2 linked regions of the Callithrix jacchus genome follow. The protein of the gene in region 1 interacts with the protein of each later gene in a pairwise test. Links are inferred from orthologs where the notes say so. Each region holds a gene or a part of one and is shown on either strand. Other genes may lie near its edges.

Evidence for each region.
Region 2: the proteins of ADRB2 (region 1) and KCTD13 interact in a protein complementation assay, tested with the Homo sapiens proteins (2 studies listed by BioGRID and IntAct, with this or other methods). The link is inferred for Callithrix jacchus from reciprocal best matches to the Homo sapiens genes ADRB2 and KCTD13.

What each region holds. Positions count from the first base shown.
Region 1 is NC_133503.1:47,515,591-47,519,688, reverse strand, and holds the start of ADRB2 (beta-2 adrenergic receptor), read right to left. Parts: upstream 2,801-4,098; 5' UTR 2,578-2,800; coding exon 1,398-2,577; intron 1-1,397. UniProt on the Homo sapiens protein: Beta-adrenergic receptors mediate the catecholamine-induced activation of adenylate cyclase through the action of G proteins. The beta-2-adrenergic receptor binds epinephrine with an approximately 30-fold greater affinity than it does norepinephrine.
Region 2 is NC_133513.1:29,593,132-29,597,081, reverse strand, and holds the start of KCTD13 (BTB/POZ domain-containing adapter for CUL3-mediated RhoA degradation protein 1), read right to left. Parts: upstream 2,801-3,950; 5' UTR 2,607-2,800; coding exon 2,363-2,606; intron 318-2,362; coding exon 148-317; intron 1-147. UniProt on the Homo sapiens protein: Substrate-specific adapter of a BCR (BTB-CUL3-RBX1) E3 ubiquitin-protein ligase complex required for synaptic transmission.

The DNA of each region.
Region 1 (4,098 bases):
GGCTCTTTTGCAACGTCTGGAGACATTTTTGCTTGTTATAACCTGGGGGTGCTATTGGTATCCAATGAATAGAGACCAGAGGTGCTAAACATCAAAGAGTTATCCGGTCCAAAATGCTAATAGTGCCAGGGCTCAGAACCTTGGTTTAGACTGAAGCGAGGAGAGTCAATGGGAGAAGAAAACAAGGACCAAAGGAAGGAAGAAAAAGGGGTTAAAATTCTGTTTTGAGGTCATGAGGTATCCATCAGTTACATGTTCTCCAGCTTTTCTCCCCATGTCCAATGCCTTTTAATTATTCCGTGGGATTGCAGGGCCATGTTTGAGTAGCTTTTTCATAGGAACATCTTCCTTGTACCTAAAATTCCAAGCCCTGATGCAGTACAAAGAGCTCCACTATAAGACATGGCCAAGACATAAATACAAGCAGTTATGAAACAAGTAGAACTGGAAGGTGGGCAGTGGGGGTGCGTGAAGGGAAGAAAACATATGCCTATAACGCCGTTTCTATGAGTCAGTGTTGCTGAGGTAACAACACAGAACAATAACCATAGGGAGAGCTGAGCTATACTAAGAGCAGGCAGAACTGATTCGGAGCACAAGTGTCAGGAGAGACGCAGCTTTGCAGCAACAGATTCAAAAGCAAATGAAAGGGTTAAGCAATCTGTGCATGTCATTCCGTATCATTCCACATTAAGTCATGGGCAGTTATTACAAGTAGTTACCTGTGGTTTCCAGTGGGGGAGGAAACGGCACTCCAGTCAAGGGGTTTTGGAGAAACAGGTGCAGCGAAGGCATGGTCAAACAATTTATTTACTGTAAACTTTAGACTTTGCTCAGGAAAACAACTGAAACTGCCCCTCGAATCCCTGCCTAAAATACCCCGTGTAAGCAAATAAGAGGAGCGGGGAAGAGTCCATGTTCACAGCTAAAAGGTCCAAGATACTCAAAATCCTCAAGTTCAAGGGTGTAGGAAGGAAAATCTCCTTCGGATACAAATTACCAGCAGCAATATATTACCCCTAATACTTAAATAGTGAGGTAGATACATGGAAAAATCATCAAAACATAGCAGACCCAGGTCCTCTAGGACTAAAGCCCTTCAGACATAAACTTATAAGTTCCATGCAAAGAGGAACTGAACTGTACAAATAACAAATAATCAAATAAGTTTTCTCTCTTTTTACAGCTTAAAAAAATAAAAAAGGCAGAAGGGTGCCCCTCCTCCTGCATATCTCTATACAATTTTATTCTAAGTTTATTACACTCAAGTTAAATAGTCTGTTTAGTGTTCTGTTGGTGGGGGCGTTCTTATAAAGTAGAAAAACTGCTTTACAGCAGTGAGTCATTTGTACTACAGTTCCTCCCTTGTGAATCAATGTTATCGCTAGGCACAGTACCTTGATGGCCCACAAAGTCTTCCGTGCCTGGAAGGTCTTCACACAGCAGTTTATTTTCTTTCTCCTGTTCCAGGTGATATCCACTCTGCTCCCCTGTGTTGCCGTTGCTGTTGCTGGAGTAGCCATTCCCATAGGCCTTCAAAGAAGACCTGTGCAGGCACAGAAGTTCCTGGAAGGCAATCCTGAAATCTGGGCTCCGACAGTAGATAAGGGGGTTGAAAGCAGAGTTGACATAGCCCACCCAATTTAGGAGGATGTAAACTTCCTTAGGGATGAGGTTATCCCGGATCACATGCACAATGTTGACGATAAAGAAGGGCAGCCAGCAGAGGGTGAAAGTGCCCATGATGATACCTAACGTCTTGAGGGCTTTGTGCTCCTTCAAGCAGAACTTGGAAGACCTGCGAAGTCCATGTCCCGTCCGCCCGTCCTGCTCCACCTGGCTAAGGTTCTGGGCATGGAAGCGGCCCTCAGATTTGTCAATCTTTTGGAGCTGCCTTTTGGCCACCTGAAAGACTCTGGAGTAGACGAAGACCATGACCACCAGGGGCACGTAGAAGGACACGATGGAGGAGGCAATGGCATAGGCTTGGTTCGTGAAGAAGTCACAGCAGGTCTCCTTGGCATAGCAGTTAATGGCTTCCTGGTGGGTGGCCCGGTACCAGTGCATCTGAATGGGCAAGAAGGAGGTAAGGCCTGACACGATCCACACCATCAGAATGATCACCCGGGCCTTATTCTTGGTCAGCAGGCTCTGGTACTTGAAGGGTGAAGTAATGGCAAAGTAGCGATCCACCGCGATCACGCACAGGGTCTCAATGCTGGCCGTGACGCAAAGCACATCAATGGAAGTCCAAAACTCACACCAGAAGTTGCCAAAAGTCCACATTTTCATGAGAATATGGCTGGCCCCAAAAGGCACCACTGCCAGGCCCATGACCAGGTCAGCACAGGCCAGTGAAGTGATAAAGTAGTTGGTGACAGTCTGCAGACGCTCGAACTTGGCAATGGCTGTGATGACCAGCACATTGCCAAACACAATGGCCAGGACGATGAGCGACATGACGATGCCCATACCCACCACCCACGCCTCGTCCCGTTCCTGCGTGACGTCGTGGTCCGGCGCGTGGCTTCCATTGGGCGCCAACAAGAAGGCGCTGCTGTTCCCGGGTTGCCCCATGGCGCGCAGTCTGGCAGGTGAGCGCACTGGCTGCCGGCGCCTCAGCGGGCGGATCCCCGGCGGGGCTCTGAGGGCCGCGAACGGACGCCTGGAAGCCTCATTCAGCGGCCGTGAGGTGGGTGTGGTGGGGGCACGTCCTGCACACTTAGCTTGTCGGGTGCTAGGGGCTCACGATGCCAGCCAGTTCCAGCCCGCCCTCTGGAGAAGCCGCCTCGGAGTGCGTACTGCCCGTTATGTGCACAGGACTTTAGGAGAACTGCCCTCGCTGTGACGTGCGGGAACTTTCGGCCAATGGCACGCCGGCAGCCCCGTAGGGGCGAGGCACCCCTCCGCTTTCCTCCCCTCCCCTCACCCTCCCTCTCCCGGGGCTGGCCCGGGCGGGGCCCAGCTGCTCTTTGGCGGGCGGGCCACCACTCCTTCCCGGCTACCCGGGCTGGCCCCAGAGGGCTAAAGCTGGAGCTGGCGTGCTTACCAGCCAACCCGGGAGCTTTTTTGGCTCTTCTGTGGCCGCTACCTGCCTGCCCTGGGAGCCTGTGCAGTCTGAGGTCTCAGGGCAAAGGGCAGCACACCGGCACTGCCCCACATACGGAGGGAAACGAGAGTGCCCACCGAGGCACGCACATACAGGCACAAATACACCCCGGCAGACATGCTCAGACTTATACGGAACCACAGCCATAGACACGGAGACACACCCTCCCAGGGCACCCGCAGGCACACTCGCGAGCGCGCTCACACAGAAGCCGTCAGGCACAAAGTCACCCCTGTCCAACACAGAAACGCGGCCAGAAACAAACACAGAAGCACCAGAAGCACAAAGGCATCGTGACACACACAAAAAGTAAACACAAGCCGGCTTAGAGGCATGCAGAGCGACACAGAGGCGGATGTCTCTATCTGGGTACTCACAAACTTCCCCCACCTGAGCGCTGATAATGCCCCTCTCCCAACATACACCCAGTAACCCAGTATATTCCCTTTCAGACATTTGGCAAGACCGCAGGAGGTGACTTCAGCAGCTGCCGATTTCCTCAGCACACTCACTGTCAAGTACTTTCGGTGCCCTCTTTGGGAATTTGCAGGCATCAAGACAGTTTTACCCTTTGGATTTCATTCGGAGAGGGGGTAAGGATGTATGTATTTTGGGATGGAGAGAGAAAGTTCTGTGCTTTCGTTTTAGTTTCGTTTTGTTTTTAACTCTTAATAAGAGTGTGGCATCACTCACTCATCTGTTGGACAGGAGATGCACTGAGAATTCAAACAATTTCTTCAGTAATCCCAATGCAACTAAAAAAAATCCTTTCATCCTCTGGATAGTTTGTTAATCTTTCAGGTTGAGCCATATGAAATTGCCACCATTTGGTGTCTGTGACTTACCAAAACGGCAAATTCATATGATTCAGAGTATTAAGAATGTCTTAAGATTAAGAACTTTTTGAAACTATAGAAAGCAAAAGATAATTCTCCCTTAAAAAAATAAAGTAAGACCAAATCTCAAAACTAAGATCTTTGTTCACAAAA
Region 2 (3,950 bases), on another chromosome or scaffold:
AGAAGATAGCATCCCAAATTCTCTGGGGTTATGGCCAATCAGAGGCAGGCTCTCTAGGCCATACCCCATATCTCCTTTCTTCTGTCCTAATACCTGCTTGGGCAGCTCTCTCAGGAACATAGGCACCGGGACTCGGAAGGCCCTCACCTGCAGTGCCAGCTGGCAGTCGTCAATCAGGCCCTGAACCAGGTAGTAGCGTGCTTCGCCCAGCAGCTCTCCCAGTTCTCTGGTACTCTCTGGCAGTGGCACAGACCCGTCCCGCAGGTAGTTGAGGATCGTACCAAAGTGACGGCCACTCCGGTCAATCAGCACCCAACCTAGTAGGGTGGGGAAAGGCAGAAGGAAAGACGGCTTTGCTGGGGGACCTGGAGCTATTAAATTAAAGAAAAATTTTTTTGTAGAGATGGAGTCTCATTATGTTGCCCAGGCTGGTCTCGAACTCTTAGGCTCAAGTGATCCTCCCATCTCAGCCTCCCAAAGTACTTGTATTATACGTGTGAGTCACCACACCTGGCCTAAATTATAAGAAAAAACGGATTCCAGCTAGGCGTGGTAACTGACGCCTGTAATCCCAGCACTTTGGGAGGCTGAGGAGGGTGTATCACCTCACATTTTTTTAAGCTGTGAGGTCAGGAGTTCGAGACCAGCCTGACCAAGAGGGAAAAACCTCATCTCTACTAAAAATACAAAATTAGCCAGGCATGGTAGCGTATGCCTGTAATCCCAACTATCTGGGAGACTGAGGCAGGAGAATAGCTTGAGCCTGGGAGGCGGAGGTTGCAGTGAGCCGAGATGGCGCCGTTGCACTCCAGCCTGGGCAACATTAGGGAACACTGACTCAAAAAAAAAAAAAGGATTCCAAAGTCACAAAAAAGACTGAATACTAATCTGTGCCACAGCCAAAAAATCTCTTTAAAATATCTCTAGTGAGTTCTCCCATAAGTTACACATCCAGCCGGAGAATTAATTCTTCCATATCTGATCTACAGTCAGAAGCTCTTAACACGAACGGTCTTGCAGAATTACCTTATCAATAAACCTCTAACCCCCATGTTAATTCTGACCATCCTATTTAAAATGTCGACCTCCCTCCAATTCACTACCATTTTAACTTTTATATTCTTCATAGAACTTATCAGAAAAAAAGAAAGAACTTACTACCTGCATATTATGCATTTTTACCTGCTTATTGATCTCATCTCCCACCTCCTTAAAAAAGGGGACTTGCCATAATTTTGTCACGTTCATTTACCTATGTATCTCCAGCACTAACTGATATTTTACAAACACTAATTGGACAAATGAATTCGTCACTTTTTTTTTTTGATGGAATTACACTAAGTTGCCCAGGCTGGAGTGCAGTGGCAAAATCTCGGCTCACCCACAATCTCTGCCTCCCAGATTCAAGCGATTCTCCTGTCTCAGATTCCTCAGTAGCTTGGACTACAGGTGCCTGCCACCACATCCGGCTAATTTTTGTATTTTTAGTAGAGACGGGTTTCACCATATTGGTCAGGCTGGTCTCAAACTCCTGACCTCAGGTGATCCACCCACATTGGCCTCCCAAAGTGCTGGGATTACAGGTGTGAGCCACCGAGCCCAGTCAAATTCTTCACCTTTGATACTTGAAGGCAGATGTCCGCCTCCCAAATTTTTATCCTCCTATTCTCATAGTCCTTGTTAACTCCTCCCTTAAGAATCTCCCAGTTCCAAACTCCAAAACTTTGGGCATGTAGGCTCCAAACTTGAATGCGACACTCCAAGAAGGTAAGGTTCACCTGCCAATGACACCTGTCCACCCCTCCACTCTGGTGTTCCTAGCAAACCTAAAGCATCCTCCTTTTGTAATGTGTGTCTACAGGTGGATTCCTGGAGTGTACAGGGACCTGTGTCGGGGAACACAGAGGCAGACAAGATCTCCCACTTCTCTAGGCTGGCTGAGCAGTTCTGAGGCAGAGAGGGAAGCAAAAGGCTGGGCAGTTGGAAGAAACTGAGAAGGCTGCCAGGAGTAGAATTGCAGGCAGCAGGGCTAGTACCCAAGTCTTTAGCTGAGGGGTGAAGGGTGGGAGAGCTGTCATGAGGATTATGAAGTGACACGTTCAATCACTTACCACAGCGCCTGGCAGAATTAGGGGTTCCGTAAATGTTGGTTATTGCTGGGGGTAAAGGACTGGGGAAGAAGGGAAATTATGAATGAGAAAGGGGAGGAGATGAGATGTGGGCGCTGGAGGGAGCTGAGAATGAGTTGACCGGACAGTAGTGAGCAGAGAGAAGGGGCATGAAGAGCCCCGGTGGTGAGAGACTGTGGGGAACGCGAGTTGGGGGTCTGGGGATGGAGGCACGGTGGGGAAGCCGCTCGTACCTCCGGCGTCGGTCAGCACCTCCACACGGCCGCTGAACATGGCCTTGAGCATGGTGTCCTGTCCCGTGAGGGTGCGCAGCGTGGTGTAGTGCAGCGAGCCGCCCACGTTCAGTTTCACGTACTTGCTGTTCGGGGTCAGCGGCTTGAGACCGTAGGCGGCGGAGCCAGGCTCTAGACCCGAGAGCTTAGGGGTTTCTAGGGACGGGGCCGCGGCCGCCGCCGGGCCCGAGGCCTCCGCCGACATACCGGGTGGCAGCGGCGGACGGCGATCCCAGGCTCTCTCCGCGCCCTTTGGCCTCCTCCCGAAGACCCTCGGCCGCCCCCAGCCCTCGGGCCAGACCGCTCGGCATACACGCCCACTCGCCGCTGCTACTAGGCGACACCTGCCCGCCGCCCCATCGCGCTCGCACCACCCGGAAGCCGGCGCCGGGCAGCTGCGCAGGCGCGGCTCCGCCCCAGAGAGGGGGGAGGGCCTGCAAGTGCGAAGCATGCGCAGCGGGCTTGCAGGGGGAGCCGGAGCAACAGTGGGTTGAGGCCTGAGGGTCCCGAGGTGGGTCGATGTGCCCTCCCGTCTGGTCTGTAGTATGCAAGACCAGATCGAGGATGCTGCCGACCCCTGCCCAATGTGGAAAGCCAAGTCTCCGCCTCGTGATTGGGTCTCTGCTCTCAGAGAGCTTCACGAACTTAAGGGGAAACAGACCGAGAGATCTGGGCGTTGGGCAGTTTCCCGCCTCCCAGCCCTGCGCACTGAACAGACGGTGACGAGAACTGCGAACAAAGCACGGAGGGAAGCTCTTAAAGGAGGCCAAAGCGGCTGGGCGCAGTGGCTGACACCCCAAAACCCCAGCATCTAAGCCCAGCTACTCGGGAGGCCGAGGCAGGAGGATTGCTTGAGGCCAGGAGTTGGAGGCTGCAGTAAACTGTGATCGGACGACTGCAAGTGGGCAACATAGTGTCCTAAAAAAAAAAAAAAAGGCCAAAGGGGTAGCAGTGTTGCCCGGGCACCAAGGATGGAAGGCCTCCCAGAGGAGGTGATGCCGAGTTGAAGCTGGGAAGCGGCCATGTGGAGATGTGAGGGAAGAGTTCCAGGCAGAGAGAAGGCAAATCCAAAGATCCTCAGGGTGCGGTGGCTCATAGTTGTAATCCCAGCACTTTGGGAGGCTGAGACAGGTGAATCACGAAGTCAGGAGTTCGAGACCAGGCTGTCCAATATGATGAAATCCCGTTTCTACTAAAAAATACAAAAATTAGCCAGGCGTGGTGGTACACACCTGTAATCCCAGCTACTCAGAGGCCGAGGCCGGAGAATTGCTTGAACCCGGGAGGTGGAGTTTGCAGTGAGCCAAGATAGTGCCACTTCACTCCAGCCTGGCAACAGAGTGAGACTCCATCTTTAAAAAAAAAAAAAATCTTCAGGCAGGCAGGAACACGCTCTAGTATTTGAGAGCAGAGGGTGTGTCAGAGGTGGCCACAGCAGCTGAACAAAGGTCTTAGAATCCCAGCTAATGTCATGGGACCTAGCACCCAACCCCAAAAGAAAGAAGAAAAGATAGGAACCCACTGTTGACAAGAAAGTGCACTGAGAAGT